4 linked regions of the Anolis sagrei genome follow. The main gene of each other region encodes a partner of the protein of the gene in region 4 in a complex. Links are inferred from orthologs where the notes say so. Each region holds a gene or a part of one and is shown on either strand. Other genes may lie near its edges. The genes, in order: P2RY2, C3AR1, HRH3 and GNAO1.

Region 1 (7,882 bases), on a different chromosome or scaffold from region 4:
TGAATGTTTGACCCTGAGCTGTAATTTTACCTATCTGTAAGCTTGCTTATCCAAGGCAGAAAGAATTTCGTGGGAGTAGATCTGCTTGTGTCTGAGCACAGGCAATTATTTTTTCCTATCAGCAGCAGCTGTTGGCAAGCAAAGCTCTCTCAATAGACAGGGATTCTGGGTCTCAGTAGACAGGGATTCTGGGACTTGTAATAACTGGAAATTTATTTTTCTTAATCACGTTCCTATAAGAACTCCCACGACAAACAGAAAATATATATCAATGATTGGTTGGGGGGGCGGGGCGCCAAAATACTGTTTGCTTACCATTGAAAATTACCTAGGGCCGCCTCTGGGTGGGACCAACACGTTTACTAATACATATAGTAAAAAATGAAGAAAAATAATAAGACACCAAAACACTTAAATACTTAATGTGCTTTAATCTGTGTTTTAATGATATTTTAATGATGTTATGTTTTATATTTTCACTGTGTCATACACTGCCACAAGCCACCAATTATTATCATTGTTGTTGCATTACAGAGAATAAAACCAAAAATCAAACATCTAAGCAAATACAAGTGACGCAATCCAGTTTCATAGGGAACAATAATTTTGCAATGAATTGTTTTAAGAAAAATCCAGCAGCCAGTTTTTAAAGAGTCGTGTTTAAACACAAATCAACAAGTACTACGGAGATGACGTATTTCCAAGAAGAGAATGAAGCCAGAAATCCAACAAAGCTGCAAGCAATTTCAAAATGTCCTAATCCATTGATTGAAAAAAAAAAGAGCAATGCTTGAGATGACAGCAAAACTTAGTTCGCTCTTATGTATTGATATTTAGGTATGTCTTGTATGTTAAAATAGTGTTTCTCAACCTGGGGAAGGGATCACGAGGGGGTTTCGGAGGGGTCACCAAAGACCATCAGAAAACACATATTTCTGATTGTGTTCCAGCAGACACCAACTAACCCCTCTCCAATGCCAGTGATACAGCTGAATGGTGTAACATTAGAAAAAGTTGATCATCTCCGCTACCTTGGCAGCCACCTCTCCACCAAAGTCAACATCGACACCGAAATACAACACCGCCTGAGCTCTGCGAGCGCAGCATTTTTCCGAATGAAGCAGAGAGTGTTTGAGGACCGGGACATCCGTAGGGATACCAAGGTGCTTGTTTATACAGCTATTGTCCTCCCAACCCTGCTCTATGCCTGCGAAACATGGACTGTCTACAGACGTCACATGCAACTCCTGGAACGATTCCACCAGCGCTGCCTCCGGAAAATCCTGCAAATCTCCTGGGAAGACAAGCGGACAAACGTCAGCGTGCTGGAAGAAGCAAAGACCGCCAGCATTGAAACGATGGTCCTCCGCCATCAAGTCCGCTGGACCGGCCACGTTGTCCGGATGCCCGACCACCGTCTCCCAAAGCAGTTGCTCTCCTCCGAACTCAAGAACGGAAAACAGAATGTTGGAGGACAGGAAAAGAGATTGAAAGATGGCCTCAAAGCCAACCTTAAAAACTCTGGCATAGACACTGAGAACTGGGAAGCCCTGGCCCTTGACCGCTCCTGCTGGAGGTCAGCTGTGACCAGCAGTGCTGCAGAATTTGAGGAGGCACGAATGGAGGGCGAAATGGAGAAGCGTGCCAAGAGGAAGGCGCGTCAAGCCAACCCCGACCGAGACCGCCTTCCACCTGGAAACCAATGCCCTCACTGCGGAAGAAGATGCAGAGCAAGAATAGGGCTCCACAGCCACATACGGACCCACAAGAATATTGGAAGACAATCATCCTCGGAAAGCGAGGGATCGCCTAAGTAAAGTAAGTAAAGTAAGATTGAGTTAGGAACCTCTTTGGCAGAGAGGGCTGTCCCATCTCTCTGCCTGTCCTTCTCTTCCTTTTTGGAAACAGACATCAAATCCTCCCTCCAAAAACCCTCCTCTGCTGTGATTGGCCAGCCTCTCAGCTAAGGGGAGGGCTGTTTCTGAGACTCCAAGTGGGGAGGGGAGAGCAGGCGTTCTTGGCATATGGCAGCGTGGCACATAGGCAAGGGAGAGTGTGTGAAGCTGAAGGTAGATTAGTGCCAGCAAGTTCCTTCAAGGCGGGGGCGTTCTATGTGGGAAGTTTATCTCTTTGATTGTAGGTGAACTATACATCCCTATAACTACAACTCCCAAATGTCAAGGTCTATTTTCCTCAAACTCCACCAGTGTTCACATTTGGGCATATTGAGTATTTGCACCAAGTTTGCTCCAGATTCATCATGGTTTGAGTCCACAGTGCTCTCTGGATGTAGGTGAACTACAACTCCCAAACTCAAGGTCAATACCCACCAAACCCTTCTAGTGTTTTCTGTTGGTCATGGGAGTTCTGAGTGCCAAGTTTGGTTCAATTCCATCGCTGATGGAGTTCAGAATGCTCTTTGATTGTAGGTGAACTATAAATACTAGCAACTACAATTCCCAAATGACAAAATCATAATTTTTTGAGTGATGGTCACTCCTTGTGTAGTGAGACATTTTGTTGTCAAATTTAGTGGGATTTGGTTAATTGGTTCTTTTGTTTTTAAGATACAGAGCATTTTTAGTGGCTCTCAACCTTCCGAATGCCTAGACCCCTTAATACCATTCCTCATGTTGTGGTGACCCCCAACCATAACATTATTTTTGTTGCTACTTCATAACTGTAACTTCGCTACTGTTACAAGTCGTAATGTAGATTATCTGATATGCAGGATGTATTTTCATCCAGTGGACCAAATTTGGCATTTGGGAGTTGTAGTTGATTTTTGTCATTTGGGAGTTGTAGTTGCTGGGATTTATAGTCCACCTACAATCAATGAGCATTCTGAACTCCACCAATGACGTAATGGAAACAATTTTAGCATACAGATCTCCCATGACCAACAGAAAATACTAGAAGAGTTTGGTGGGCACAGACCTTGAGTTTTAGAGTTGTAGTTCACCTACATCCAGAGAGCACTGTGGACTCAAACCATGATGGATCTGGACCAAACTTGGCACAAATACTCAATATGCCCAAATGTGAACACTGATGGAGTTAGAGGAAAATAGACCTTGACATTTGGGTGTTGTAGTTGCTGGGATTTATAGTTCACCTACAATCAAATAATATTCTGAACCCCACCAACAATAGAATTGGACCAAACTTCCCACACAGAACCCCCATGACCAACAGAAAACACTAGAAGGGTTTGGTGGGCATTGACCTTGAGTTTAGGAGTTGTAGTTCACCTACATCCAGAGAGGACTGTGGACTCAATGATGGATCTAGACCAAACTTGGCATGAATACTCAATATGCCCAAATGTAAACACTGGTGCAGTTTGGGGAAAATAGACCTTGACATTTGGGAGTTGTAGTTACTGGAATTTATAGTTCACCTACAATCAAAGAGCATTATGAACCCCACCAATGATAGAATTGGGCCAAACTTCCCACACAGCACCCCCATGACCAACAGAACATATTATGTTTTCTGATGGTCTTTGGCGACCCCTCTGACACTCCCTGGCAACCCCTCCAGGGGTCCCGACCCCCAAGTTGAGAATGCTGATATAGATGATTCTGTGATCCTAAGCTTGGTTAACAGTGAAAGGCTGGATGTCACGAGTGATGTTGATCGTGGCAGAATGAGATGGGACTAGATGAAATTGAAATTGAATCCAGACAAGACAGAGGTACTCCTGGTCAGTCGCAAGGCCGAACGGGGTATAGGGTTACAGCCTGTGCTGGACGGGGTCGCACTCCCCTTGAAGGCGCAGGTTCGCAGCTTGGGTGTGACCCTGGACTCATCGTTGAGCCTGGATCCCCAGGTTTCAGCGGTGACCAGGGGAGCATTTGCACAGCTCAGGCTCGTGCGCCAGCTGCGCCCGTACCTTGGGAAGTCTGACTTGGCCACGGTAGTACATGCTCTGGTCACATCCCGCCTTGACTACTGCAACGCTCTCTACGTGGGGCTGCCCTTGAAGACGGCCCGGAAGCTCCAGCTAGTCCATCGCGCGGCAGCCATGTTACTAACAGGAGCGGGACGCAGGGAGCATACAACGCCCTTGTTGTACCAGCTCCATTGGCTGCCGATTCGCTACCGGGCCCAATTCAAGGTGCTGGTGTTGGCCTACAAAGCCCTAAACGGCTCCGGCCCAAAATACCTGTCTGACCGCATCTCGGCCTATGAGCCCACGAGGGCCTTGAGATCGTCTGGGGAGGCCCTTCTCTCGATCCCGCCTGCCTCACAGGCACGCCTGGCGGGGACGAGGGACAGGGCCTTCCCGGTGGTGGCCCCCCGGCTGTGGAACACCCTCCCTGTTGACATCAGACAGACGCCCTCCCTTATGACATTCCGCAAGGGACTAAAGACGTGGTTGTTTGAGAAGGCGTTTGAGTAAGTGCTGTAACAATTGGCAATGGCGATTGGAACGGAACATGGATAACGAGACTGGATTGTGATTCAAATGATGAGACGTCGCGAATGATTTAGTGTAATTGTATTATGGATAGTGATGTTGTTTATTGTTGTTGTGATATTGTTTATGTTGTAAACTGATTTTATATGTTGTACACCGCCGTGAGTCGCCCTAGGGCTGAGAACGGCGGTCTACAAGTGCAGTAAATAAATAAATAAATAAATAGATGACCCTTGAGGTCTCATCCAACTCTAGGATTGTATGGTATGGTCCAATGGTTTCCCCTGAACCGGCTCAACTTGGAGAGCTGTCAGCCCGGTGCCGCTTCCTCTTTGCTTTGACAGCTTGTGGCAACTGGGTGTCGCATTTGCCACACTGAAGTGGGGAAGTGGATGTGGGATGGGCTGGGAAGGGATGTGGGTGTTCTCTCTGCCTCCCTCCTCCAACAGGATTCGGGGAAGGAGAGCATGAAAGGAGCAGGACAGCTGCTGCCGGGGCAGGGCCAGTCTGGGCAAGCCAGCCTCAGAGCTGCTCCTTGGGTGCCTCCTCCTCCTCCTTCTCTTTTTTTCTCCTCCATCTCCTCCTCCTCTTCTTTCACCTCCTCTCTTGGCGCAATAGCTGCTGCCTGTCGCTTTGTCCTGGACGGAAACATTGGAGGAAAGCAATGGGGACCTTTCCATGGACTTTGCAACACTTAAGGTTCCTGGACTGAACATGGAAAAGCAAGCAACTTGAGAAGCCTTCCCAGGAAATCCAAAAAACTGTAAGTTATGACTTGATGCGTGCGCTTCCTTTCTTGTATGTAACAGGTTGCTGAACATCTTGCACAACACGTTGCGGCCCAGTGCCAGCGATTAAACTCCAAAGATCAAGACACTTCTCGTAAAAGGTTGCAGGAGACGCCTCCAAACAGGGCGAAAGGTGTGACACTCTTGTTCTGTCCCTATGGAAAAACTCTTGGAGATCTCCTTAATTTTTATTCTGCCTCCTCCAGGTTCTGATAGCAAATCTGATCAGGGTTTCTATCTCTCCAGTCCTATTTTTAGCTTCTGTTTTCTTCCCCCTTCAGCTTGTAAATAAGTTGTGACCTGCCTGAAGTTTGAGAGAGAGGAGCAAAGCTGTGAGTGTGATTTACAGTTGCCAAGTGGAAGAAGGGACAGGGCTCCTAAGCCTTTAAGAGTTGGAATTGTGTGGAAGAGTTGTGCAAAAAGGGGAATTTGAACTGCTGGGGATTGTCATGCAACAGAGTGTACAAAATCCCCTCTTTTACATGGCTACTTCCTGCACAGGAGCCCCATCCTCTTGTTTCACTTGGCAACCTTAATGTAGGCATGCTTTCCTCAACTCTCCAGGCACGTGGGAGTGCATTTACACCAGTGTTTCTCAACTTTTCTAATGCCACAAACGCTTAATACAGTTCCTCATGTTGTGGTGACCCCCAACCATAACATTATTTTCATTGCTACTTCAGAACTGTCATTTCTCTATTGTTATGAATCGTAATGTAAATATCAGATATGCAGGATGGATATTCATTCACTAGACCAGTGTTTCTCAACCTTCCTAATGCCGTGACCCCTTAATACAGCACCTCATGTTGTGGTGACCCCCCAACCATAAAATAATTATCATTGCTATTTCCTAACGGTAATTGTGTTACTGTTATGAATCATAATGAAAATATCTGAAATGCAAGATGAGTTTGCATTCACTAGACCAAATTTGGCATAAATACCCAATAACGGAGCTCCATGCAGTCGTGTCGGCCTTGGAGGTGTCTATGGACAACACCAGCTCTTCGGCCTAGAAATTGAGCACCAACCCCCAGTCTTGAACATGACTGGACTTAATGTCAGGGGAAAACTTTTACCTTACCTTACCCAATATGCCAAATTTCAATACTGGTGGGATTGGAGGGAGAATTGAGTTTGTCATTTGGGAGTTGTAGTTACTGGGATTTATAGTTCACCTAAAATCAAAGAGCATTCTGAACCCCACCAATGATGGAATTGAACAAAACTTGGCGCACAGAACTCCCATGACCAAGACAAAATACTGGAAGTGTTTGGTAGGCATTGACCTTGAGTTTTGGAGTTGTAGTTCACCTGCATCCAGAGAGCACTGTGGGCTCAATGATGGATCTGGATCAAACTTGGCACGGATACTAAATATGCCCAAATGTAAACACTGGTGGAATTTGGGGGAAATAGACCTTGACATTTGGGAGTTGTACTAGTTGCTGGGATTTATAGTTCACCTACAATCAAAGAGCACTCTGAATCACACCACAGATAGAAATGGGCCAAACGTCCCACACAGAACCCCCATAATCAACAGAAAATACTGGAGGGATTTTGGATGAACTGACAGTGATTTAGGGGAGATGTAGTTCACCTAGATCTAGAGAGCACTGTGAACCCAAATGACTATGCCAAAGGGATTCTTAAGATCATCAGAAATATGTGTTTTCTAATGGTCTGTGGCGGCCCCTCTGACACCCCTTCGCGACCCCTTCAGGGGTCCCGACCCCCAGATTGAGAAACACTGCACTAGACCAAATTTGGCACAAGTACCCTATACGCTCAAATCTGAATACTGGTGGTTTAGAGGGGATAGATTTTGTCATTTGGGAGGTGCAGTTGCTGGGATTTACAACCTGCTTTGTCTTCAAAAAACAATGAGATTCAAATGCTCCATGAGATTCTTAGTGGATCACAAGCTGAACATGAGTCCACAGTGTGATGCGGCAGCCAAAAGGTCAACATGATTGTTGGCTTCATCAAGAGGAGTATAGTGTCTGGATCAAAGGAAGCCATAGTCCCCCTCAATTCTGCTTTGGTCAAACCTCTTCACTTGGAATAACCCTGTGTCCAGTTCAGGGTACCATATTTCAAGACGCCAAATTGGGAGGGATAGCCAATACTCCAGAGGACAGGAGCAGGATTCAAAACGATCTTGACAGATTAGAGAGATGAATGGCCAAAACTAACAAAATGAAGTTTAACAGGGACAAATGCAAGATACTCCACTTTGGCAGGAAAAACGAAATGCAAAGAGACAGAATGGGGGACAATGCCTGGCTCGAGAGCAGTACGTGTGAAAAAGATCTTGGAGTCCTCATGGACAACAAGTTAAACATAAGCCAGGAATATGATGCGGTGGCAAAAAAAGCCAATGGGATTTTGGTCGGCATCAATAGGAGCATAGTGTGTAGATCTAGGGAAGTCATGCTACCCCTCTATTCTGCTTTGCTTAGACCACACCTGGAATATTGTGTCCAAATCTGGGCACCACAATTCAAGAGAGATATTGACAACCTGGAATGTGTCCAGAGGAGGGCGACTCAAATGATCAAGGGTCTGGAGAACAAGCCCTATGAGGAGCGGCTTAAGGAGCTGGGCATGTTTAGCCTGAAGAAGAGAAGGCTGAGAGGAGATATGATAGCCATATATAAATATG
Region 2 (7,376 bases), on a different chromosome or scaffold from region 4:
TTACCAGGCAGAGCTTTGTAGACTTCCAGGGAAAAGGAAGGAGTTCAGGTTTCGGTGGTGGCCGGCTGAAGTCCCTCAGCCAAGCTGTGGGCCTTTTCTCCCTGACCAAGCTGTAAGGCTGTATGACCCCAGCCAAGCTGTAAAAAACGAAGCTTTTCTACAGGAGCCACTTCGTTCTATGTCCTGTGCGAAAGGCTTCTCTGTGAGAACTAACTCAAAATGGCTCCTGTTCCCACTAAAACTCAAAAAGGGGCGGGACCAGGGAACCTTACTATAATTGACAGGTGGCTTGCCCTATGATTGCAGCCAAAAGAAGCCACCTATCTGCAGAGTCCCTGAAACTTAGGACTGCAACAAACATTAAATGCAAAAGCAAACAGAAATGGAGCTCCTGGTACAACTGTACCAGCACATAACCCTTTGGGAAATGGCATTCACCACCGTTTTGGGAAAATCAGGAATCTCCCTGAGAAGAGTTAAAAACTCCTTTGAGTAAACTTTGTCTTAGTGATAAATATCCAGTAGTATTCATGCAAGGCAATTAGATTTCTCAGCTGTTAAACTGATATACCTAGATATCTCGTTGAACTGTTAGGGACAAAGATATGCCAGTGCACAAAAACATGTAACAGAGTTTCAGAAGTGTTCTTTCAGTTGCTCAAAAAATATCTACTCTCCCTTATAAAACATGTTGGTCTAAATCAGGGGTCTTCAAACTAAGGCCCGAGGGCTGGATACAGCCCTCCAAGATCATTTACCCGGCCCTCGCTCAGGGTCAACCTAAGTCTGAAATGATTTGAAAGCACACAACAAAAACAACAATGTTATCTCATCAGCCAAAAGCAGGCCCACGCTTCCCATTGAAATACTAATAAGTTTATCTTTGTTAAAATTGTTATTCATTTTAATTATTGTATTGTTTTAAGTATTTTTTTGCACTACAAATAAGATATGTGCAGTGTGCATAGGAATTCATTCATGTTTTTTCCAATTATAATCTGGCCCTCCAACAATTTGAGGGACTGTGACCTGGCTCTCTGTTTAAAAAGATTGAGGACCCCTGGTCTAAATCATGCTCTCAAGAGACAAAAATAAGTAGACTTAAAAAAAAAATAACGTAGTAGATTTACTCACAAACTTCATGTATTCAGCATATAGGTACATTTATGTCCAGTTACAGATAGAATTTGAAGTAGTTTCTCTGCACAGGCAACACAGGGCCCAAAGTATGTCTCTGTTCTAAGAGTCTAATAGAGTCTCAGTCTAGTCTGAAAGTCCAATGGAGTCTGAGTCCTGAACTATCCCAGATCTGATCACATGGTCTGCAGCTCCTCCCACAACTTAGAGTTAAGGAAAATTGCATACCAATACACACATATACAATACAGTAAGAAATCTGAATTATATGCAAACAAATAACTAGTGGAGGTTTGAAGAAGGTCGCCATTTCTAACATAGGATGCATGTGTTTTTTTTAAGAATGCCTATTAATCATTACAAAGACAACTAGTTTCCAGTAGTAAACAAAAATGAGTGACAGTCTGCAACTATTAAGGGAGCAATGCGTAGCAAAATCACTGAAAGGAGTGAAAACATAAAGGTATAATTGAATTGTCTGTGTCTGATCAGAAGCTGTACAGTTTAGGAAAAGAATATAAATTGACCATAAACCGGTATGCAGAAAGGGCATAAGCTGGCATGACCATATACTAACTTGCCTTAAATATAGTAATCTTGATAGACAGATTAGGTATTTCTAGCTGTACACATTCAGGGTAAGAGAAGTGGGATTTGCCCTTCTACCATGAAGTTTTAACATGAATTTCGAAAAGACACTATCTTAATTTCAGCTTTTAAAAAGGAAACCTTGGAAGAGTGCAGTTCAATTTTACTCAGCTATCTATAACAATGTCCGGTTGTCCACCAGTCTCTCTGCTTTCCTACATTTCCTTTGCTTCTATAAGAACTCTCAAAGGCAAGAGCCTGAATACAAGATTGGACAACTCAACATCCCCCAAATGATTTGCTTCATGATTTTTCTTCAACGACATTCTTGGGCGACCTTCTCCTCTGACAAACCTCTTCTCTATCTGGCATGCTCTCACCTTCTCCCAGTCCAACCACTGCCATATGACAGTGATCATCCCTGTCATTATTAGTGGACGAAACCAAGTGATACTTGTAGCTATATAGGGAGCTGCATCATTCCTTGTCAAGTAGTCCATCCAAGCCAATAGTGGTGATTCCAAAAGTTTGTGCCTCTCGGGTAGATGGCCAAGTTGGTTAAATGCTTGAGGTTCAACTTAAGACACATATCATACGTTCAGCATTATAAAAATCAAAGTTGGAAAAAAGTTTCATAATTCATAATCGTCATACTTTGTAGCTCCTTCTAAAGAACGCTTTCCACAGTGTGTCACACACCACACAAAAGCCACATATACAAAACTGTTTGCATTGTATTCCTATACATCGACATGTACTTTTTAAAAAATAGGGAAGGGAAAATTATATGGTAATTGCTTCTTGCTATTCCTAGATGTCTCCTTCCTCCGCTTCTTAATAAATAGGAACAGGAATGAAGTTTGTTTCAACATACAGTTTTGACGTTTCGAAATATGGCTAAATGTGATTCAGAATAAGGCTTTCTAAAAACTTATTCTTGACAAACTCCCAAAAAAATAAAAAAGCAAGAATGATTGACAACTTTTTCATACCCATTCTTTTGTTCCTTTCCCTTTTTAAATCCTGACTGTTACTTGTACGTTTTGCATCACTCACTTACCAGTCCTCCACCACAAACCCTCTGAGATCCCACAAACATTTCCTTCTCTTCTTATGCCAACTGACTAGAGTTATATCCATACCTTTGCTTCCCTTGGCTGGCTATCCACAGTTGCTGCAGTCACAGTGTCTATCTTCTCACCTTGTTCTGTCCAACTGAGCCAAAGAAGGGAGGAGAAGAAGGGGAAGAGGCAGTTACAGCCAGGAAATAGTAGATTGAGCCTCTTACCACGTGTACCATGCCTGGCCTACTCTGAATTGGATACCCCCTTCTGCAATGTTCTGGTGCTTTCATGTTTATTTTTAAATTTATTTTCAAAGAAAAATGGAACTTAGTTGAGTGCCAGAGGAAATGCCATTAAGCAAAATATCCCAATTGCAGAAGTGTCCAGAATAGCAGTGCTAACAAAGTCTCAACTATATTTGCTTTAGTCAATCGATTGAGAATGATAATTTGGTATCATCACCTTGGAAAAATAGAAGATCTGAAACTAGCAGACTAACAGAGATAAATGCATCATTCTCTATTTAGGTTATAAAAATCAAATCCACGGGTATAGGATGGACGATACTTGGCTATCCAGTGCTATATATGAAAAAAGACTTTGGGATAATTGTTGATCAAAAGTTGAAAAACATTATAGGTCATCAATATAAATTACATTAAAATACACTTCATACAATTCATACAAATTACAGCAAAAACCAGTTCGTCCAAAAGAATTACAAATTCATCGCCATCCGCCAGAAAGGTCAGCAGTTATTGACTCAGTCATCATCCTGCGAACGCAGTATCCCAAAGCCATGTTTTTACCTGTTTTCTAAACGTCAGGAGGGAAGAGGCAGATCTAATCTCCATCAGGAGGGAGTTCCAAAGCCGAGGGGCCACCACCGAAAAGGCCCTGTCCCTCGTCCCCACCAAACGTGATTGCAAAGGCGGTGGGACCGAGAGCAGGGCATTAGATTTGCCTCTTGTGTATAATGATTCACAACAAGCAGACCCTCTAGATAACCTTTGTAGGAGTAGATTTAGTAATTTCTAGAATGAGAGAGAGAGACCATGGAATATATGCATAAACCATTGTTTATTAATTTCACATTGTAGTGTAGTTGTCAACAACAGTCAGAAAGAGAGGGCGACTACAAATCAAGTTCTTTGCAGGGGACAAGGTAATCTTTTATAGATTCAGATGGTGAAAAGTAGTTAATTATTATCAAGGAAGTAGCCATCCAATTTGCCAATATGGCGCTACCCCTGTTGCTCTAGAGTTCGTATTTGCAGATGTAGGAATTGCGATTCTTGCACTGGATATCATTCCACTCCTTAAAACCTACAAATTAAGAGATGAAACACATGTTATTTTCTTCTCTGTTATTGTTTTGGGAAAAAAACTCCCAAGATATTGTCAAACTGTCACCAGTTTCAACCCCTAGGTCTAAAAGAACAGAAAAGCCTCTTGATCTCATATTTGTTAAGTACTTCTATTAGTAGGTAAATTGGAGAAATGATAATAGAATTCAGAATGTCACTGGAAGGTGACAAGGATGACCTGGTATAGAGAAGAAAATTACATACAACTGGACTTGAATGGAGATGATACTGTTGGGGGGGGGGGGGTGTTTTAATGACTCCCATGAATAGGAGTCAGAGTCTGTTGCTTATAATTCAGAGCATTATAATGTTTCATATTATGGGGATGGAGTCAAAGGTTATTGAACATCCGGCCACCTCTTGTATGCCTGGGTTTACCTACCAGAAAATGGATGGACAGGGAGAAACCAAATTATTGGATTGCCCAAAGGGCTCAGGGTGTGTTCACGAGATAGTTAAATGTTGCTGCCTGACCTCAGCTGAACCATCATCAGCTTGATTCTCTCCTCCGCTCCCCACCAGATTATTTTTTTCCAGGTTTAACTTAATTTAAATAAGTCATAGGTAACATAAAGTGGCTCTCATGTAACCTAACCTTTGTTGTCTGATCCTGTTATTTCCATGGTTAATCATCAAACACTGGTGATCAAACACTGATGGAGCCCCTGGTGGCCAGGACCCCTGTGCTGTCAGGACTGAAGTCGGCGGATGAGCTCCCTCTATCAGCTCCAGCTCCTCATACGGGGACATGAGAGAGCCTCCCACAAGGATGATAATAAAAACATCAAATCATCCTGGCGTCCCCTGGGCAATGTCCTTGCAGACGGCCAATTCTCTCACACCAGAAGCGACTTGCAGTTTCTCAAGTCGCTCCTGACACAACAAAAAAAAAATCAAACACTGGTACGGTGATGTAAAGCTTGTAGAGTTCAAGGGTATGCCAGCCAATGGAAATCAATTTATTCCAAGAGATTTTTAAAACTGAAGGCTTTTAAGGAGAGAGCTTTTTAAAAAGTGTTGTACTGTTTTATGTCCTGAATGTTTTTTATTTAATCATTGAGGATCCCTTATCTGGAATTCCAAAATCTGAAATACTCCAAGATAGGGACACCTTTGCTTTCTGATATATATATAAACTTTGTTTCGTGCACAAAGTTCTTAAATATATGGTATATAAAATTATCATTGCTCTCCCCAACATATGCCTCACAAGGAGGCTTCTCCACTCTGTCTAATGGAAGGGCTGACTCTGTATATCATGTAAGTGAACTGTGGCACACTGGCTTGTGTGACCTCCCCAAGCTGGACAAGTTGGCCATTGCTGGCTGGACTCTTGCTAGAACTGCAGCTGATAAAACCATGGAAACTAGATATACTTGATACTTTCTTGGCTTGTTTACCTGTTTTAAGTCGGAGTTCTACACAGTGTTCAGAGTTAAAGTAGTTGTCGGGCTGACCACTTTCCCATGCCTTGTAGTTGAAAACTGATTCGTCAGCCCACCTCCATTTCCTGGTCTGTACAAAGAAGATACATGATTGAGGAAGTGATGGGAATGATGTATTTACATAGCTCAGCTGTTCAGTGAGTTACCAAAGAGGAAGTCACATTTGCTGCTGTAAAACTAGTCCAAAGATTTGCAGCATCTTAAAAGGTTATCACACACATTGCAGAATTATTTACTTCTTTATTTATTTGTGATATTTCTATCCTGTCTTTCTCGAACCCAAAGGTGACTCAACCAGTAGAGACAATTCCATGTCAAAATATAATTTCCTTGAATGCATGAAATATTGTCTGGTGGATAAGAACTTCCCAGCAGTGCAAACAAATGTGTGGGACCACCATCATAACATACATACATAGCAGCAGTGTAGAGTGTAGTATCCAATGTGTTTGGTTTGGCATGACTACCTACCACATAGTATCTTAAGAGTAAGTTCTGTTGAACTTAATAATGCTTGCTTCTAATGCTAAATTTAGAGTTAAGAAAGGCTCTGCAGCCATCAATATGCATCATCAATATGCATCAATAGGCAGGAGCCCCTGGTGGCACAGTGGGTTAAACCCTTACGTTGGCAGGAATGACTGACAGGTTGGAGGTTCGAATCAAGGGAGAGCATGGATGAGCTCCTCTGTCAGCTCCAGCTCCCCATGCGGGGACATGAGAGAAGCTTCCCACAAGGATGATAAAACATCAAAAACATCGGGGTGTCTCCTGGGCAACGTCCTGCAGACGGCCAATTCTCTCACACCAGAAACAACTTGCAGTTTCTCAAGTCACTTCTGACACAAAAGGGGGGGGGCAGGCTTTCAGGTAGAAATGGAAATCTTCTTGCAAAGAAATGTCACCACCAAATTGTTAGTGTGAAAGATGAATCCTGCCAAAGATGGGTAAAAGAGAAACATCCACCCTCCATGGATGACTCCAGTGTAGCTTCTCTAGAAAAGAAATTTTGATGCCTGGGAGCAGCCACTAAGAAGACCTGCATTCCTTAAGACAGGGGTCATCAAATGAAGGCCTGGGGGCCGGATACAGCCCTCCAAGGTGATTTACCTGGCCCTCGCTCAGGGTCAACCTAAGTCTGAAATGACTTGAAAGCACACAACAACAACAACAATCCTATTTCATCAGCCAAAAGCAGGCCCACACTTCCCATTGAAATACTAATAAGTTTATATTTGTTAAATTTCATTTTAATTATTGTATTGTTTTAAGTGTTGGGTTTTTTTTTTTTTGCACTACACATAAGATATGTGCAGTGTGCATAGGAATTCATTTTTTTCAATTGATAATCTGGCCCTCCAACAGTTTGGGAGACTGTGACCTGGCCCTCTGTTCAAAAAGTTTAAGGACCCCTGCCTTAAGATGTGACCTGTGGGGGCACTAGAATGAGGAGCAGAGGTCTAATTCTGCCATCCCTCCTTTGCTGCACTGGGACTCCTATTGAAAACTGCTGAGAAAATCAATGTGGAACTCAAACTGTGAAATTACTAGAATTTCATCAATAAGGAATTTCTCACAGTAGTGAATACTTGGATTATTAGAAGAAAGAGGCTTACCTGACGAACATCATGGAGCCCAATCCAGACATTACTTGGTTCTGTTTGGTAAGTGGAAATGTGTTCGGCCACCAGAAGGGTCTCTGCCTTGGTGAGGACAGAGGCAAGATGGGCCCCACGGCCGTAGCTCTGGCACTCAATCTAAGAAAGGAGAAGGAA
Region 3 (7,954 bases), on a different chromosome or scaffold from region 4:
GGATTTTGCAAGACCAGTCGCTCTAGTTGCTGCGTGGTTTCGAGGCAACGGTGTAGTAATGGTGAGGCTGTGGGCAATATTTTCATTCTTGCAGACCACTGGTGATCCATGGACCACAGGTTGGGAATCATTGTTCTAAAATGGTTTGAACTAGAGCAAACCTTTGCAATCAATAGGCTGGGACCCATGGGATTTGTGCCTTGAAGAGTGAGAAGAGGAAGGACTGGACTCTTTATCTGCTCCTACTTCCTCTTGGGAAGTGATTTGGGGAGAAATGTCTTCTCCTTAGCAATCTAATCTCACTATTCTTCTCCTTCAGGCATGGGCAAACTTTCTAGCTTGGGGACACATGACATGGCAGGCTGGAGCAGGGTGGGTGGGCTGGGAAGAAAGTAGTTCTCCCCAAGCCCCTTCCCTGCCTTTTCCTCTTCTTCTATTTCAGAGGCAGAAAGTGAAGAAAAGATGGGAAATGTTTAGATCCCAAAAGAGTTAGCCTTGGTCAGGATGAGATGGTGGGAGGGAAAGAAAAAGTGTATCCATTAGACCCCATATTGCCTACTCCTGGTGTATAATTGTAGAATCCTAAAACTGAAAGAGACCCCCAAGGGCCATTCAGTCCAATCCCCTGGCATGCAAGGATGCACAATCAAAGCACTCCCAATAGACAGCCTCAGCGGAAGTGCTTCCAGAAAAGGAGACTCCATCATATTCCCAGGCAGCCTACGCCACCCTCCAATAGCTCTTAATCTCTGGAAATTCTTCCTAATCTTTTCAGTCAAACCTCTTTTCCTGCCAGTTGAAATCATTTCTTCCTTGTGCCCTGGTCTCTAGAGCAGCAGAAAGTCAGTTTTCCCCCTCCTCAATGGGACACTCTTTGAAATCTTGAAACATGGTTCTCATGTTCCCTCTCTTTCTCTTCTCCCAGCTAAACATCCCCCAGGAGGAAAGGAGGAAGGGAGAGAGGAAAGAGAGAAGAAAGGAAAGACAAAAGGGAAGGAAGGAGGAAGAGAGAGTGGGAAGGAAGAAGGAAAGGGGGGAAGTAAGGAATGTAGAGTAGAAGGGAAGGAAGGAGGGAGGGAGGAAGAGGGAGGTAAAGAAGGAAGAGGGAGGGAGGTAAACATCCCCCAGGAGGAAAGGAGGAAGGGAGCGAGGAAAGAGAGAAGAAAGGAAAGACAAAAGGGAAGGAAGGGGGAAAGAGATAGATGGAAGAAGGGAAAGAGGAAAGAGGAAGAGAAGGAAGAGTAGAAGGGAAGGAAGGAGGGAGGGAGAAAGAGGGAGGTAAAGAAGGAAGGAAAGAAAGAAAGAAGGAAGGGTGGAAGGGAATGGAGGGAGGAAAGAGAGAAGGAAAGCAAGACAAAAGAGAAGGAAGGAGAAAGAGGGAGGTGGAAGGAGGGAGAAAGAGGAAGGGAAGGAAGAAGGGTGAAAGGATGGAAGGGATGGAAGGAAGGAGGGAGAAAGAGGGAGGTAAAGAAGGACGGAAAGAGAGAAGGAAGGAAGGGAATGAAGGGAGGAAAGAGAGAAGGAAAGATAAAAGGGAAGAAAGGAGAAAGAGAGAGGGGGAGGAAGAAGGAAAGAGGGAGGGAAGCAAGGAAGGGTTGAAGAGTGGAAGGGAAGGAAGGAGGGAGGGAGAAAGAGAGAGGTAAAGAAGAAAGGCAAGAGAAGGAAGGAAGAAAAGGTGGAAGGGAATGGAGGGAGGAAAGAGAGAAGGAAGGAAAGACAAAAGGGAAGGAAGGAGAAAGAGAGAGAAGGAAGGAAGAAGGAAAGAGGGAGGGAAGGAAGGGATGAAGAGTGGAAGGGAAGCAAGGCGGGAGAGAAAAAGAGGGAGGTAAAGAAGGAAGGAAAGAGAAAAGGAAGGAAGGGTAGAAGAGAATGGAGGGAGGAAAGAGAGAAGGAAGGAAAAATGAAAGGGAAGGAAGGAGAAAGAGAGAGAGGGAAGGAAGAAGGAAAGAGGGAGGGAAGGAAGGGATGAAGAGTGGAAGGGAAGGAAGGAGTGAGGGAGGGAGAAAGAGGGAGGTAAAGAAGGAAGGAAGGAAAGAAGGAAGGAAGGATAGGATGGTGAGAGAGAGGAGAACCTGAGAAAAGAGCCCAAGGGGCCACATCTGGGTTTGCCCATACTTGGTCTACTTAATGGAGGCATGGGCCAACTTCGGCCTCCCCTCCAGGTGTTTTGGACTTCAACTCCCACAATTCCTAACAGCCTACCGGCTGTTAGGAATTGTGGGAGTTGAAGTCCAAAACACCTGGAGGGAAGGCCGAAGTTGGCCCATGCCTGCCTTAATGTCTTTAGATGAGGCAGGTCAATAAGGAAGGCGAGGCGGGGTACTTTACCTACTAGGAAATCCGAGATGGCCAAGTTGAGGAGGAAGTAGTTGTTCTGCGTCCTCAGGCTGGAGTCCACCACGAAGGCCAGCATCACCAAGGCGTTGCCAACCACGGTGGCCACGATGAGCAGGGCCATGAGGACGGCCAGGATGATGGCCCACAGGGTGGAGAAGCGTCCCAGGAGCTGCTCGCCTCCCCCGGGGGGCTTCTCGGGGGTCTCGGAGGAGCCGTTCAGCGGCCAGGAGGAGCTGTCCATTTCAGCACCACAGAGGCTCCGGCGCCTGGCTGGGGGTCCCTGCCTGGAAAGACCTGCCCGGACGCTCCCCGACAGCAAGGCTCAGAGATCCCTCTCTCTGCATGGCAAGGGCGAAGATACGCTTGCACTGCCAGCCCCCAAAGTCCACACAGCAAGCCCTGAAACGGATCTTCCCCAATGCATTCCCTTTTACGCACAGCCGTCGGCGATGAGAGGTTCTGCCTTCTTCTTTCTCCAGTCTTGTTCACTCACTCTTTTCCTTCTCGTTCCAGGCAAAGCTGCTTGTCTTTCTCTCTCTCTCCGTTCTTCTTCTTCCTTCTCCTTTTCTTTCCCCGAGTTTGGGAGGGAAGGAAAGAGGAGGGTCGGGAAAGGGACGGAGTAACTCCTCTCTTCTCCCTGGCTGCTGCTCTGCCTCCGAAGGAACTGGCAAAACCTCCCAGCAAAAGAGCCAGGAGCGTTTCTTTCCAAAAGGTGGAGCTAAGCTTCTACGCCCAGAGCTTCACAAAATCATCTCAGCTGGAAGAGACTCCCACCAGGACCAACTGAGACTGAGACCACAGGAGATGGGCAGGCAGCTCCTACCTGCACAATAGGCTCCGAGGCTGGATGGCCATCTGTCAAGGGTGCTTTGAATGTGATTTTCCTGCTTCTTGGCAAGGGGTTGGACCGGATGGCCCATGATTCTATGATTCTATGATTCTAATAATCTCAGCTGGAAGAGACTCCCATCAGGACCAACTGAGACTGAGACCTCAGGAGATGGGCAGGCAGCTTCTACCTGCACAATAGGCTCCGAGGCTGGATGGCCATCTGTCAGGGGTGCTTTGAATGTGATTTTACTGCTTCTTGGCAAGGGGTTGGACCGGATGGCCCATGATTCTATGATTAATAGAATCATAGAATCATAGAATCAAAGAGTTGGAAGAGACCTCATGGGCCATCCAGTCCAACCCCCTGCCAAGAAGCAGGAATATTGCATTCAAAGCACCCCTGACAGATGGCCATCCAGCCTCTGTTTAAAAGCTTCCAAAGAAGGAGCCTCCACCACACTCTGAGGCAGAGAGTTCCACTGCTCTCACAGTCAGGAAGTTCTTCCTCATGTTCAGATGGAATCTCCTCTCTTGTAGTTTGAAGCCATTGTTCCGCGTCCTAGTCTCCAAGGAAGCAGAAAACAAGCTTGCTCCCTCCTCCTCCCTGTGGCTTCCTCTCACATATTTATACATGGCTATCATATCCCCTCTCAGACTTCTCTTCTTCAGGCTAAACATGCCCAGCTCCTTAAGCCGCTCCTCATAGGGCTTGTTCTCCAGACCTTTTATCATTTTGGTCGCTTTCCTCTGGACACATTCCAGCTTGTCAATATCTCTCTTGAATTGTGGTGCCCAGAATTCTAGATTCTATGATTCTATGATTCTAATAATCTCAGCTGGAAGAGACTCCCATCAGGACCAACTGAGACTGAGACCTCAGGAGATGGGCAGGCAGCTTCCACCTGCACAAAAGGCTTCCTTCTCCCTTTCTCTTCTTCTTACTCAGCCCTAGTTTGAGGCCACACTCTATAATAGGCATGGACAAGCTTCCGCCTTCTGGGTGCTTTGGGCTTAAACTCCCACAATTCCTGGCCCCAGGCCCTATCCTTTTCCCCCTCAGCCACTTAAGCAGTATCAGCCATGGATTAAGGTTCCAGGTTTTAGCCTGCCACTTTTGGACTCTCGTTTGCCTATGTTGAAGTCCAAAACACCTGGAGGGAAGACCGAAGGGCGCCTACCATAGATGCAGGTGAAACGTCTGGAGATAATGCTTCTGGTACATAGCCATACAGCCTGAAAACTCACAACAACCCAGTGATTCCAGCCACAAAAGCCGTTTCTTGGTTTAAAATGTTGGAATGTATCCAGAGGAAAGTGACTGAAATGATCAATGTTCTGGAGAACAAGCCCTATGAGGAGCGGCTTAAAGAGCTGGGCATGTTTAGCCTGAAGAAGAGAAGGCTGAGAGGAGACATGATAGCCATGTATAAGTATGTGAGAGGAAGTCATAGGGAGGAGGGAGCAAATTTGTTTTCTGCTGTCCTGGAGACTAGAAAGTGGAATAATGGCTTCAACCTACAAGAAAGGAGGTTCCATCTGAACATTAGGAAGAACTTCTTGACTGTGAGAGCTGTTCAGCGGTGGAACTCTCTGCCTGGAGTGTGGTAGAGGCTCCTTCTTTGGAAACTTTTAAACAGAGGCTGGATGGCCATCTGTCAGGGGTGCTTTGAATGTGATTTTCCTGCTTCTTGGCAGGGGGTTGGACTGGAGGGCCCATGATTCTATGATTTTATGATTCTATGATTCTAATAATCTCAGCTGGAAGAGACTCCCATCAGGGCCAACTGAGACTGAGACATCAGGAGATGGGCAGGCAGCTTCCACCTGCACAAAAGGCTTCTTTCTCCCTTTCTCTTCTTCTTACTCAGCCGTAGTTTGAGGCAACACTCTATAATAGCCATGGACAAACTTCCACCTTCTGGGTACTTTGGACTTCAACTCCCACAATTCCTGGTCTCAGGCCCTTTCCTTTTCCCCCTCAGCCGCTTAAGCGGTATCAGCCATAGATTGAGGTTCCAGGTTTTAGCCTGCCACTTTTGGACACTCGTTTGCTGAGGTGTACCTCTGTAGATCTTAGAAAGCTGTTTCTTGATTTAAAATGTTAGAATGTATCCAGAGGAGGGCAACTAAAATGGAGAACAAGCTCTATGAGGAGCGGCTTAAAGAGCTGAGCATGTTTAGTCTTCAGAAGAGAAAGCTGAGAGGAGACATGATAGCCATGTATAAATATTTGAGAGGAAGTCATAGGGAGGAGGGAGCAAATTGTTTTCTGCTGCCCTGGAGACTAGGACGCGGAACAATGGCTTCAAACTACAAGAGAAGAGATTCCATCTGAACATGAGGAAGAACTTCCTGACTGTGAGAGCAGTGGAACTCTCTGCCTCAGAGTGTGGTGGAGGCTCCTTCTTTGGAAGCTTTTAAACAGAGGCTGGATGGCCATCTGTCATGGGTGCTTTGAATGCAATATTCCTGCTTCTTGGCAGGAGGTTGGACTGGATGGCCCATGATTCTATGATTGTATGATTCTATGATTCTATGATTCTAATAATATCAGCTGGAAGAAACTCCCACCAGGACCAACTGAGACTGAGACCTCAGGAGATGGGCAGGCAGCTTCCACCTGCACAAAAGGCTTCCTTCTCCCTTTCTCTTCTTCTCAGCGCTAGTTTGAGGCAACACTCTATAATAGGCATGGACAAACTTCTGCCTTCCAGGTGCTTTGGACTTCAACCCCCACAATTCCTGGCCTCAGACTCTTTCCTTTTCCCCTCAGCTGCTTAAGCGGTATCAGCCATAGATTGAGGTTCCAGGTTTTAGCCTGCCACTTTTGGTCTCTCGTTTGCTGAGGTGTACCTCTGTAGATCTTAGGAAGCTGTTTCTTGATTTAAGATGTTGGAATGTATCCAGAGGAGGGCGACTAAAATGATCAATGTTCTGGAGAACAAGCCCTATGAAGAGTGGCTTAAAGAGCTGGGCATGTTTAGCCTGAAGAAGAGAAGACTGAGAGGAGACATTATAGCCATGTATAAGTATGTGAGAGCAAGTCATAGGGAGGAGGGAGCAAGCTTGTTTTCTGCTGCCCTGGGGACTAGGACATGGAATAATGGCTTCAAACTACAAGAAAGGAAATTCCATCTGAACATTAGGAAGAACTTCCTGACTGTGAGAGCTGTTCAGCAGTGGAACTCTCTGCCCCGGAGTGTGGTAGAGGCTCCTTCTTTGGAAGCTTTTAAACAGAGGCTGGATGGCCATCTGTCAGGGGTGCTTTGAATGTGATTTTCTGCTTCTTGGTTGGACTGGATGGCCCACGAAGTCTCTTCGAACTCTATGATGCTAGGGTTTGAATCCCCTCCCCCATTCTGTTGCCTTAGAAAAAAGCAGTGGCAAAACACCTTTGAATAAATCTTGCAAAGTAAATCCTATGAGGGGACTGAGCTGAACCTGAAAGTCACACAACAACCACAACCACAATCTCAACAACAAAAGGCTGCCTATCAATAGCTACATATGACTTCCCATAATAAGGGAAACGTATTGGTGAATAACAGCAGGGAAGTGCTCTTGTGTTCATATTCTGTTTGTGAGTTTCCCATGAGCATCTCTCTGGCCACTGTGGGAACAGAATGCTGAACTCAGTAGTCTGTTTTAGCCTGACACTTCTGATGTCCTTTGCTATTGTCCCTGCTTTCATTTCCATTTTACAGATAGAGAAAAATGTGTGCACAGGATACTATACTTGTGGATTCCAACAGAACTAGAATCCAAACCCTTACCTTTCAGATATAAGTCTGACTGAGATAAATAAGATCCAAAATACCAAACAATACTTCATTGGAGAAAACTGTGTGCATAAAAGAAAACATGAGAGGAGACATGATAGCCATGTATAAATATGTGAGAGGAAGTCACAGGGAGAAGGGAGCAAGCTTGTTCTCTGCTTCCCTGGAGACTAGGACGCAATGGAACAATGGCTTCAAACTACAAGAAAGGAGATTCCATCTGAACATGAGGAAGAACTTCCTGACTGTGAGAGCCATTCAGCAGTGGAACTCTCTGCCCCGGAGTGTGGTGGAGGCTCCTTCTTTGGAAGCTTTCGAGCAGAGGCTGGATGGCCATCTGCCAGGGGTGCTTTGGATGCAACATTCCTGCTTCTTGGCAGGGGGTTGGACTGGATGGCCCATGAGGTCTCTTCCAACTCTATGATTCTATGATTCTGTGTTCGGTGTGTTTCTTGCTGTGTTGGGTGTATGCACTTGTGGTTCTTCTTTACTGTTTAAAAACCCAAGAGGCATGCACAAAACTCTGTGAGTCTTCCATCCCTGTCATCCCAAGGAGAGTGACTATGCCAAAGCCTGTTAGAGTTAGTGGGCCAAAGATAGTGTTGTCCTGAGGAGTCTGAGATAAACCTCTGTGGGAGAAAAGGCCTTATTTTGATTAGGCCTCACAGTGTGAGGTAGGCCTTAGTGTATGATAGAAGCCTCATCTGCATGTATCTCTCTTTATGAACCATCTTCTGGGGAGGCCCTGCTCTTGGTTCCGCCGTCTTCATGGGTTCAGTTGGCGGGGACAAGAGATAGGGCCTTCTCAGTGGTGGCTCCTCAGCTGTGGAACAGAGTATTCCACAGAGTATAGGTAGTAGGAAGCAATGGTATTGAGCCACGACATGAGCAAAGACTCAGATGCCTCTCATGTCTGTGAGTTGGAAGGCTGAGGACAACCACTCGTTTGCATCTAACTGATATTTAAGGTGCAAGAGAATAATTCAAGTGGTGATAACTGGGGCTGT
Region 4 (7,383 bases):
ATTACACACACACACACATATATATTCCCATACGCTTCATGGTAACCAAGAAGGATGTATTTCAAAATATCTATATCTGTGTAGAGAAAGATATATAGCTATATATTCCTAGATGCCTCATAGTGCACAAAGCCAAGAAGAATGCATTTAGTAATATAATGTACAATAATATAATATTTAATAATATTATATAATATTAATACCCTCTTTCTCATATAGATAGATAGATAGATAGATAGATATTAATCCCCTATCTCTCTCTCTCTCTCTCTCTCTCTCTATATATATATATATATATGGAAATGGGGGATTAATATTGTATTATATTATTAAATATTATATTATTGTACATTATATTATTATAATGTACAAATTATATATATATATATATATATATATATATATATATATATATATATATATGAGATCCATGGTGCACAAAGCCAAGAAGGATGCATTCAATTATATATACATATCCCCCTTTCTATATATGCCCCATAGTGCATATATAGAAAGGGGAAATATATATATATATATACACACACACACATATATTTCCCTTTTCTATAGATGCCCCATAGTGCATATATAGAAAGGGGGAATACACACACACACACACATATATATATATTTCCCTTTTCTATAGATGCCCCATAGTGCTTATATAGAAAGGGGGAATATATATATACACACACACTTCTCTATCTATCTATTTATCTATCTACACAAATCGAATGCCCTGGGATGTACAAAGCCAAGAAGGCTGCATTTCATAATCCATCAATCTCAATCTCTCTCTCTCTCTCTCTCTCTCTCTCTGTATGTATGTATGCTATCTATTCTATTAATCTATTCTATGTATCTATTCTATCTATCATATCCATCTGTCTGTCTATCTATCTATCTATCTATCTATCTATCTATCTATCCATCCATATATTCTATCTATTCTATGTATCTATTCTATCTATCTATCCTATCTATCATATCCACCTGTCTATCTATTCTATCATATCTATCTGTCTGTCTATCTATCTATTCTATCTATCTATTCTATCTATCTATCTATCTATCTATCTATCTATCTATCCTATCTATCATATCCATCTATCAATCTATTCTATCTATTCTATCTATCTATTCTATCTATCATATCCCCATCTGCCTATCTATCTATTCTATTCTATCTATCCTATCTATCATATCCGTCTATCTATTCTATTCTATTCTATTCTATTCTATTCTATTCTATCTCTCTATCCTATCCTATCCATCTGTCTATCTATCCTATCCTATCTATCTACATATATCCAATGCCCCTGGGTGCACAAAACGAAGAAGGATTTCATAATATATAGGGAGAGGGAGGTATATAGATAGATGGATGGATGAATAGATAGATAGATAGATAGATAGAGAGATAGAGAGATGAATGAATGGATAGATAGATAGATAGATAGATAGATGGATGAATGGATGAATAGATAAATAGATAGATAGATAGATAGACAGATAGATAGATGAATGGATAGATAAATAGATAGATAGATAGATGAATGGATGGATAGATAAATAGATAGATGGATGGATGGATGGATGGATAGATGGATAGATAGATGGATGGATGGATGGATAGATAAATAGATAGATAGATAGATAGATGGATAGATAGATAGATAAATAGATAGATGGATGAATGGATGGATAGATAAATAGATGGATGGATGGATGGATGGATGGATAAATAGATAAATAGATAGATGGATGGATGGATGGATGGATAGATAGATAGATAGATAGATGAATGGATAGATAGATAGATAGATAGATAGATAGATAGATAGATAGTGATGGCAAATAGAAGAAATTGAGAGGTGGGAGAGGGGAAGAAGACCACACCTGAGGAAGAGAGGGATGCTCATATCTCACCTGGAGAAGAAGAGACATAGCGGTATCTATGTACGTCCGCATATACACATACATACATGTATCTCTATCTATGTCTGTGTGCCTGCCTCCTTACCCAGCAAGAGGAGACATAGCGGTATCTATGTACGTCCGCATATACACATACATACATGTATCTCTATCTATGCCTGTGTGCCTGCCTACTTACCCAGCAAGAGAAGACATAGCGGTATCTATGTACATCCGCATATACACATACATACATGTATCTCTATCTATGCCTGTGTGCCTGCCTACTTACCCAGCAAGAGGAGCTTGACATCCTTGGCGGCGGTGATGCCATCTTCCTTGAGGTTCTTCTCGATCGCTTTGCTCCTTTCCAAGGCGGCTCTCTCCTCCGCGCTGAGGGTACATCCCATGGTGGTGGGCACACACACAAAAAGGGCGAATCCCCCCCCTATAAAACAACAACAAGAATACAAAAGACCCCTTTTTCCTTCCCTTCTTTCCTTGCTCCAAAGGCAGGGCGAGCTCCAATCAAAGCCAGGGAGAAGGAGAAGACCACCGATGGACCAAAGCCAGGGAGATGCTGGTGCACCAAAGAAAACCAATCTCCCCTTCTTGCCTTCTTCTCTCTTCTTCCCTGGCAGACAATCTCTCCTTAATTCCTTCCTTTCCTTCTCTCTGCGTCTTTTTTTTTTGCTCTGCTTCACTCCAAACGTTGCATCCAAGTGACAGCTTCGAATTGTCGGGGAATTGTCGGGGAATTGTCGGGGAATTGTCGGGGAATTGTCGGGAGCAGCTCAGCCAAACACAACACAATGTTGCAAGGATTTATCTTTGTTGTCTCTTTCTTATTCTTCTTCAGTCTCTTCCTTCTTCCTTTCTTCCTCCTTTCCCCCTTTCTTTTGGGGTTTCTCTTTGGGTGGGGGGGATCTCAAGGGGTCCCCTCCTGCTCCCCCGAACTTGGGGGGGTCTCTAATGGGCGATGGCTGCGAGCGAGGGCATCGTCCAAGGCGATCCTGACGGAGAGAGAAAGCAGAGAGGAGGGAGGAAAGGAGGGAGGGGGAAAAAGGAGGGAGGGAGGAAAGGCAGGGCGAGAGCGCCGCCTGCTTAGCGTTGCTCCTTCCAACGGAGGGGAGGGGGGAAGAGAAAGAGAGAGAGGGGGGGGGGAAGCTGACTCTATGACGTCAGAGCTCTCCCTGTCTCCTGCGCATGCGCCCCACTCCTAAAGGAAAAGGTGGGGGGAATCTAGAGAAAGAGAGGCCAAAGGATGGGAAGGAAAACACCCATTTCTAAGCAGAAGATCATTCATGATCCAACACGATTTGGGTTCCTGGGTTCTAAACCCCATTGCCTCATTGGTCCTATCATAAAAACATTATAATATAATATAATATAATATAATATAATATAATATAATATAATATAATATAATAATAGTATAATATAATATAATATAATAATATAATAATAATATAATATAATAATATTATAACATATAATATTTAATAAAATAAAGATCAAATATAATGATAATAATATAATACTATTACTTACTTTGCAACATAAAAATATAATATAATATAATATAATAATGATATAATAGAATAATATTATAACATATTTTATTATAATTATTATAATAAACCCCATTGCCTCATTGGTCCTATCATAAAAACATAATATTATAATATTATAATATAATATAATAATATTTAATAAAATAAAGCTCAAATATAATGATAATAATACAATACTATTACAACATAATAACATAATATTATAATATTATAACATGTTTTAATATAATAGAATAATAAAATAAAATATAATAGAATAATGATACAATAGAATAATATTATAACATATTTTACTATTATTATAATATAATAATAAACCCCATTGCCTCATTGGTCCTATCATAAAAACATAATATAATATTATAATAGTATAATAATATAATATAATAATATTATAACATATACTATTTAATAAAATAAAGATCAAATATAACGATAATAATACAAGGATATTACAGTATAATAACATAATAAAATATAATAAAATAATATTATAACATATATTAATATAATATAATAATATATAATATAATAATGATATAATAGAATAAGATCAAAGCATATATTAATATAATTATAATAATAAACCCCATTGCCTCATTAATCCTATCATAAAAGCATAGTACAATAATGTAAAGATATAATATTAATATAATAATATAATAACATATATCAATATGATTATGATATATTAATAAATCCCATTGCATCAGTCATCCTATCATAAAAATATAATATAATAATATATTATAACATATATTAATATAATTATAATATAATAGTAAACCCCATTGCCTCATTGGTCCTATCATAAAAGCATAGTATAATAATATAGAGATATAATATTAATATAATATAATATAATATAATAACATATATTAATATGATTATGATATATTAATAAATCCCATTGCATCAGTAATCCTATCATAAAAATATAATATAATAATATATTATAACATATATTAATATAATTATAATGTAATAATAAACACAATTGCCTCATTAATCCTATCATAAAGACATAATATGGTAATATAAATAGAAATATGGTAATATAATATAATTATAGTATTATAACATATATTAATATAATTATAATATAATAATAAACCCTGTTGCCTCATTAATCCTATCATAAAAACATAATATAATAATATAATATAATAATAATATATCATATTAATATAATTATAATATATTCGAAACCCCCTTTGCCCCATTGGTCCTATCACAAATAATGTAATAATATAGTAGTATAAGAAAAATATTATATAACAATAATAATATAATAATATAACATATTAATATAATAACAATATTATATTAGAATATATTCTAAACCCCCATTGCCTCACTGGTCCAATTATAAAAACATAATATAATATAATGACATATATTAATATAATATTATAATGCATAATAATATAACACAGAGGCTGCAGTGGCTCAGCGGTTTAAACCACAAAGTTGCAAAACTTACTGACCAGAAGGTTGGTGGTTCGACTCCGCTGATGGAGTGAACTCCTGTTGTTAGCCCTAGCATCTGCCAACCTAGCAGTTTGAAAACATGCAAGTGTGAGTAGATCAGTAGGTACCGCTTCTGTGGGAAGGTAAAGGTGCTCCATGCAGTCATGCCAGCCACATGACCTAGGAGGTGTCTACAGAAAACACTGGCTCTTTGGCTTAGAAATTGAGATTAGCACCCCCCCCCCCCCCCCCCCCCGAGTCAGACATGACTAGACTTAATGTCAGGGGAAACCTTTATCTTTAATTATAATATTATAATATATTCTATTATAACATATAATAATAATAATAATAATAATAATATATTATTATTATTATTATTATTATTATTATTATTATTATAGGGTTGTTGTAGGTTTTTTCGGGCTATATGGCCATGGTCTAGAGCAGTGGTTCTCAACCTGGGGTCCTCACGTGTTTTTAGCCTTCAACTCCCAGAAATCCTAACAGCCGGTAAACTGGCTGGGATTTCTGGGAGTTGTAGGCCAAAAACATCTGGGGACCCCAGGTTGAGAACCACTGGTCTAGAGGCATTCTCTCCTGACATTTTGCCTGCATCTATGGCAAGCATCCTCAGAGGTAGTGAGGTTTGTTGGAACTAGGAAAAGGGGTTTATTTATCTGTGGAATGACCAGGGTGGGACAAAGGACTCTTGTCTGCTGGAGCTAGGTGTGAATGTTTCAACAGACCACCTTGATTAGCATATAATGGCCTGATAGTGCCAAGAGCAAACTTTTGTTGAGAGGTGATTAGATGTCCTTGTTTGTTTCCTCTCTGTTGTTGTGCTGTTGTAATTTTAGAATTTTTTAATACTAGTAGCCAAATTTTGTTCATTTTCATGGTTTCCTCCTTTCTGTTGAAATTGTTCATATGCTTGTGGATTTCAATGGCTTCTCTGTGTAGTCTGACATGGTGGTTGTGAGAGTGGTCCAGCATTTCTGTGTTCCCAAATAAAATGCTGTGTCCAGGTTGGACAGGAGGGATCCTCTCACCTCTGCAGGAGTCTACCGTGTACCATGCAGCTGTGGACAAGTCTACAGAGGGACCACCAAACGCAGCAGCATTGCCCAGACACGAATCAAGGAACATGAAAGGCACTGCAGACTACTTCAACCAGAGAAGTCAGCCATAGCAGAGCACACGATGAACCAACCTGGACACAGGTGTGAAAGAGGTTGTAACCTAACCCAAAACATCTGGTCAATAATACTCTACTCCTAAGTTAGCAATCCATTGCTGGTGAGGAAAAGCAAACAGAACAGAGTCTCCAGTTTGTGTATTTATTTAGAAAATTCATTCCCCGCCTTCTAATCCCGAAAAGGAGTCTCAAGCTGGCCGAGAGCCATCAAAAATACATTCAATACAAAAGAAAAGCAGAGAGCAACAAAGCAAAGCCAACGCAATCAGCAAAGAGTAAACCTTAGGATGGGTCAAAAGTCTGGTTTTATAACGTGCCTGAAACCCATCAAAAGAAGAGAAGAGACTTGCTTCTTTGTGTCTTCCAGCTGGATAAGTCATCAGGATGATATGCCCAGCAGAGCATGGCTTCCTTGGTGGCACGGAATATCAGCCCCACAAGGGAATCCAATTTGGAATTTTGCTATCTTAGCGGAGGTCTCTGACTGTTACGAACTGCTGGAGTCCAAGCTGAGTGCCTCTATAGTCTATAGTCGCCTGTGCGCATTCAGAAGAAAGCTGAAAGGCAAAAGCTGCACATCGCAAGTGCTGAACCTGACTCAGCACATAGAAGATGGCTTTGAAAGGCAGCAGATCACAGGGCTGTCTTCATAGACCTGTCAGCAGCCTATGATACTGTGAACCACCGCCTCCTCCTGAGAAAAATGTATAATATCACAAAGGACGACCACCTCACCCGCCTCATAGGAAGCCTGCTACAAAACATGAGCTTTTTTGTTGAATTCCAGGGCCAAAGAAGCAGATGGCGGAAACAGAAGAACGGCCTGCCTCAGGGGAACGTGCTTGCTCCATCCATGGTCAACATCTACACAAATGACCAGCCACTGCCAGAAGGGACAGAGAGCTTCATCTATGCTGATGATCGTGCCATTACCACTCAGGCAGGGAGCTTTGAGATGGTTGAACAGAAGCTCTCCGAAGCTCTAGGTGCCCTTACTGCCTATTACAGGGAAAACCAACTGATCCCTAATCCCTCTAAAACACAGATATGTGCCTTTCACCTTAAGAACAGACAAGCATCCCGAGCTCTGAGGATTATTACCTGGGAAGGAATCCCACTGGAGCATTGCAGCGCACCCAAATACCTGGGAGTCACCCTGGACCGTGTTCTGACCTACAAGAAGCACTGCCTGAACATCAAACAAAAAGTGGGTGCTAGAAACAA

The links.
Region 1: the proteins of GNAO1 (region 4) and P2RY2 are in contact, whole or in part, in a cryo-EM structure (PDB 9K20), measured with the Homo sapiens proteins. The link is inferred for Anolis sagrei from reciprocal best matches to the Homo sapiens genes GNAO1 and P2RY2. Residues at the interface, in NP_066268.1 of Homo sapiens: Ala31, Lys32, Asp33, Val34, Leu195, Gln305, Glu309, Glu318, Ile319, Tyr320, Cys321, His322, Met323, Val334, Phe336, Thr340, Asp341, Ile343, Ile344, Asn347, Leu348, Gly350, Cys351, Gly352, Leu353, Tyr354; in NP_002555.4 of Homo sapiens: Asn66, Ser68, His130, Arg131, Gly134, Val135, Pro138, Leu139, Leu142, Arg143, Met221, Arg224, Leu225, Ala229, Tyr230, Gly231, Thr232, Ser233, Pro237, Ala239, Lys240, Lys242, Ser243, Arg245, Thr246, Leu308.
Region 2: the proteins of GNAO1 (region 4) and C3AR1 are in contact, whole or in part, in a cryo-EM structure (PDB 8I95), measured with the Homo sapiens proteins. The link is inferred for Anolis sagrei from reciprocal best matches to the Homo sapiens genes GNAO1 and C3AR1. Residues at the interface, in NP_066268.1 of Homo sapiens: Ile28, Ala31, Lys32, Asp33, Val34, Asn194, Leu195, Ser264, Asn316, Glu318, Tyr320, Asp341, Ile342, Ile343, Ile344, Ala345, Asn347, Leu348, Arg349, Gly350, Cys351, Gly352, Leu353, Tyr354; in NP_001313404.1 of Homo sapiens: Asn57, Asp119, Arg120, Val123, Val124, Pro127, Ile128, Gln131, Asn132, Arg134, Asn135, Tyr356, Ile359, Arg362, Gly366, Arg367, Phe368, Ser371, Lys374, Thr375, Val378, Leu438.
Region 3: the proteins of GNAO1 (region 4) and HRH3 are in contact, whole or in part, in a cryo-EM structure (PDB 8YN7), measured with the Homo sapiens proteins. The link is inferred for Anolis sagrei from reciprocal best matches to the Homo sapiens genes GNAO1 and HRH3. Residues at the interface, in NP_066268.1 of Homo sapiens: Ile28, Ala31, Lys32, Asp33, Val34, Lys193, Asn194, Leu195, Asn312, Pro315, Asn316, Lys317, Glu318, Ile319, Tyr320, Phe336, Thr340, Asp341, Ile343, Ile344, Ala345, Asn347, Leu348, Arg349, Gly350, Cys351, Gly352, Leu353, Tyr354; in NP_009163.2 of Homo sapiens: Asn69, Asp131, Arg132, Ser135, Val136, Ala139, Val140, Tyr142, Arg143, Ala144, Gly147, Ile221, Ile225, Arg228, Arg232, Thr345, Phe348, Arg349, Arg352, Val356, Leu360, Cys415, His416, His417.

Annotation. Positions count from the first base shown.
Region 1 is NC_090023.1:6,920,401-6,928,282, reverse strand, and holds the start of P2RY2 (P2Y purinoceptor 2), read left to right. Parts: upstream 1-4,879; 5' UTR 4,880-5,186; intron 5,187-7,882. UniProt on the Homo sapiens protein: Receptor for ATP and UTP coupled to G-proteins that activate a phosphatidylinositol-calcium second messenger system. The affinity range is UTP = ATP > ATP-gamma-S >> 2-methylthio-ATP = ADP.
Region 2 is NC_090025.1:106,209,634-106,217,009, forward strand, and holds the start of C3AR1 (C3a anaphylatoxin chemotactic receptor), read right to left. Parts: upstream 3,006-7,376; 5' UTR 2,868-3,005; intron 1-2,867. Other genes in the region: C-type lectin Cal-like, read right to left, coding at 4,048-4,115, 5,557-5,671, 7,218-7,358.
Region 3 is NC_090024.1:232,444,388-232,452,341, forward strand, and holds the start of HRH3 (histamine H3 receptor), read right to left. Parts: upstream 3,010-7,954; 5' UTR 2,579-3,009; coding exon 2,329-2,578; intron 1-2,328. UniProt on the Homo sapiens protein: The H3 subclass of histamine receptors could mediate the histamine signals in CNS and peripheral nervous system. Signals through the inhibition of adenylate cyclase and displays high constitutive activity (spontaneous activity in the absence of agonist).
Region 4 is NC_090028.1:7,028,372-7,035,754, forward strand, and holds the start of GNAO1 (guanine nucleotide-binding protein G(o) subunit alpha), read right to left. Parts: upstream 3,016-7,383; 5' UTR 2,328-3,015; coding exon 2,210-2,327; intron 1-2,209. UniProt on the Homo sapiens protein: Guanine nucleotide-binding proteins (G proteins) function as transducers downstream of G protein-coupled receptors (GPCRs) in numerous signaling cascades.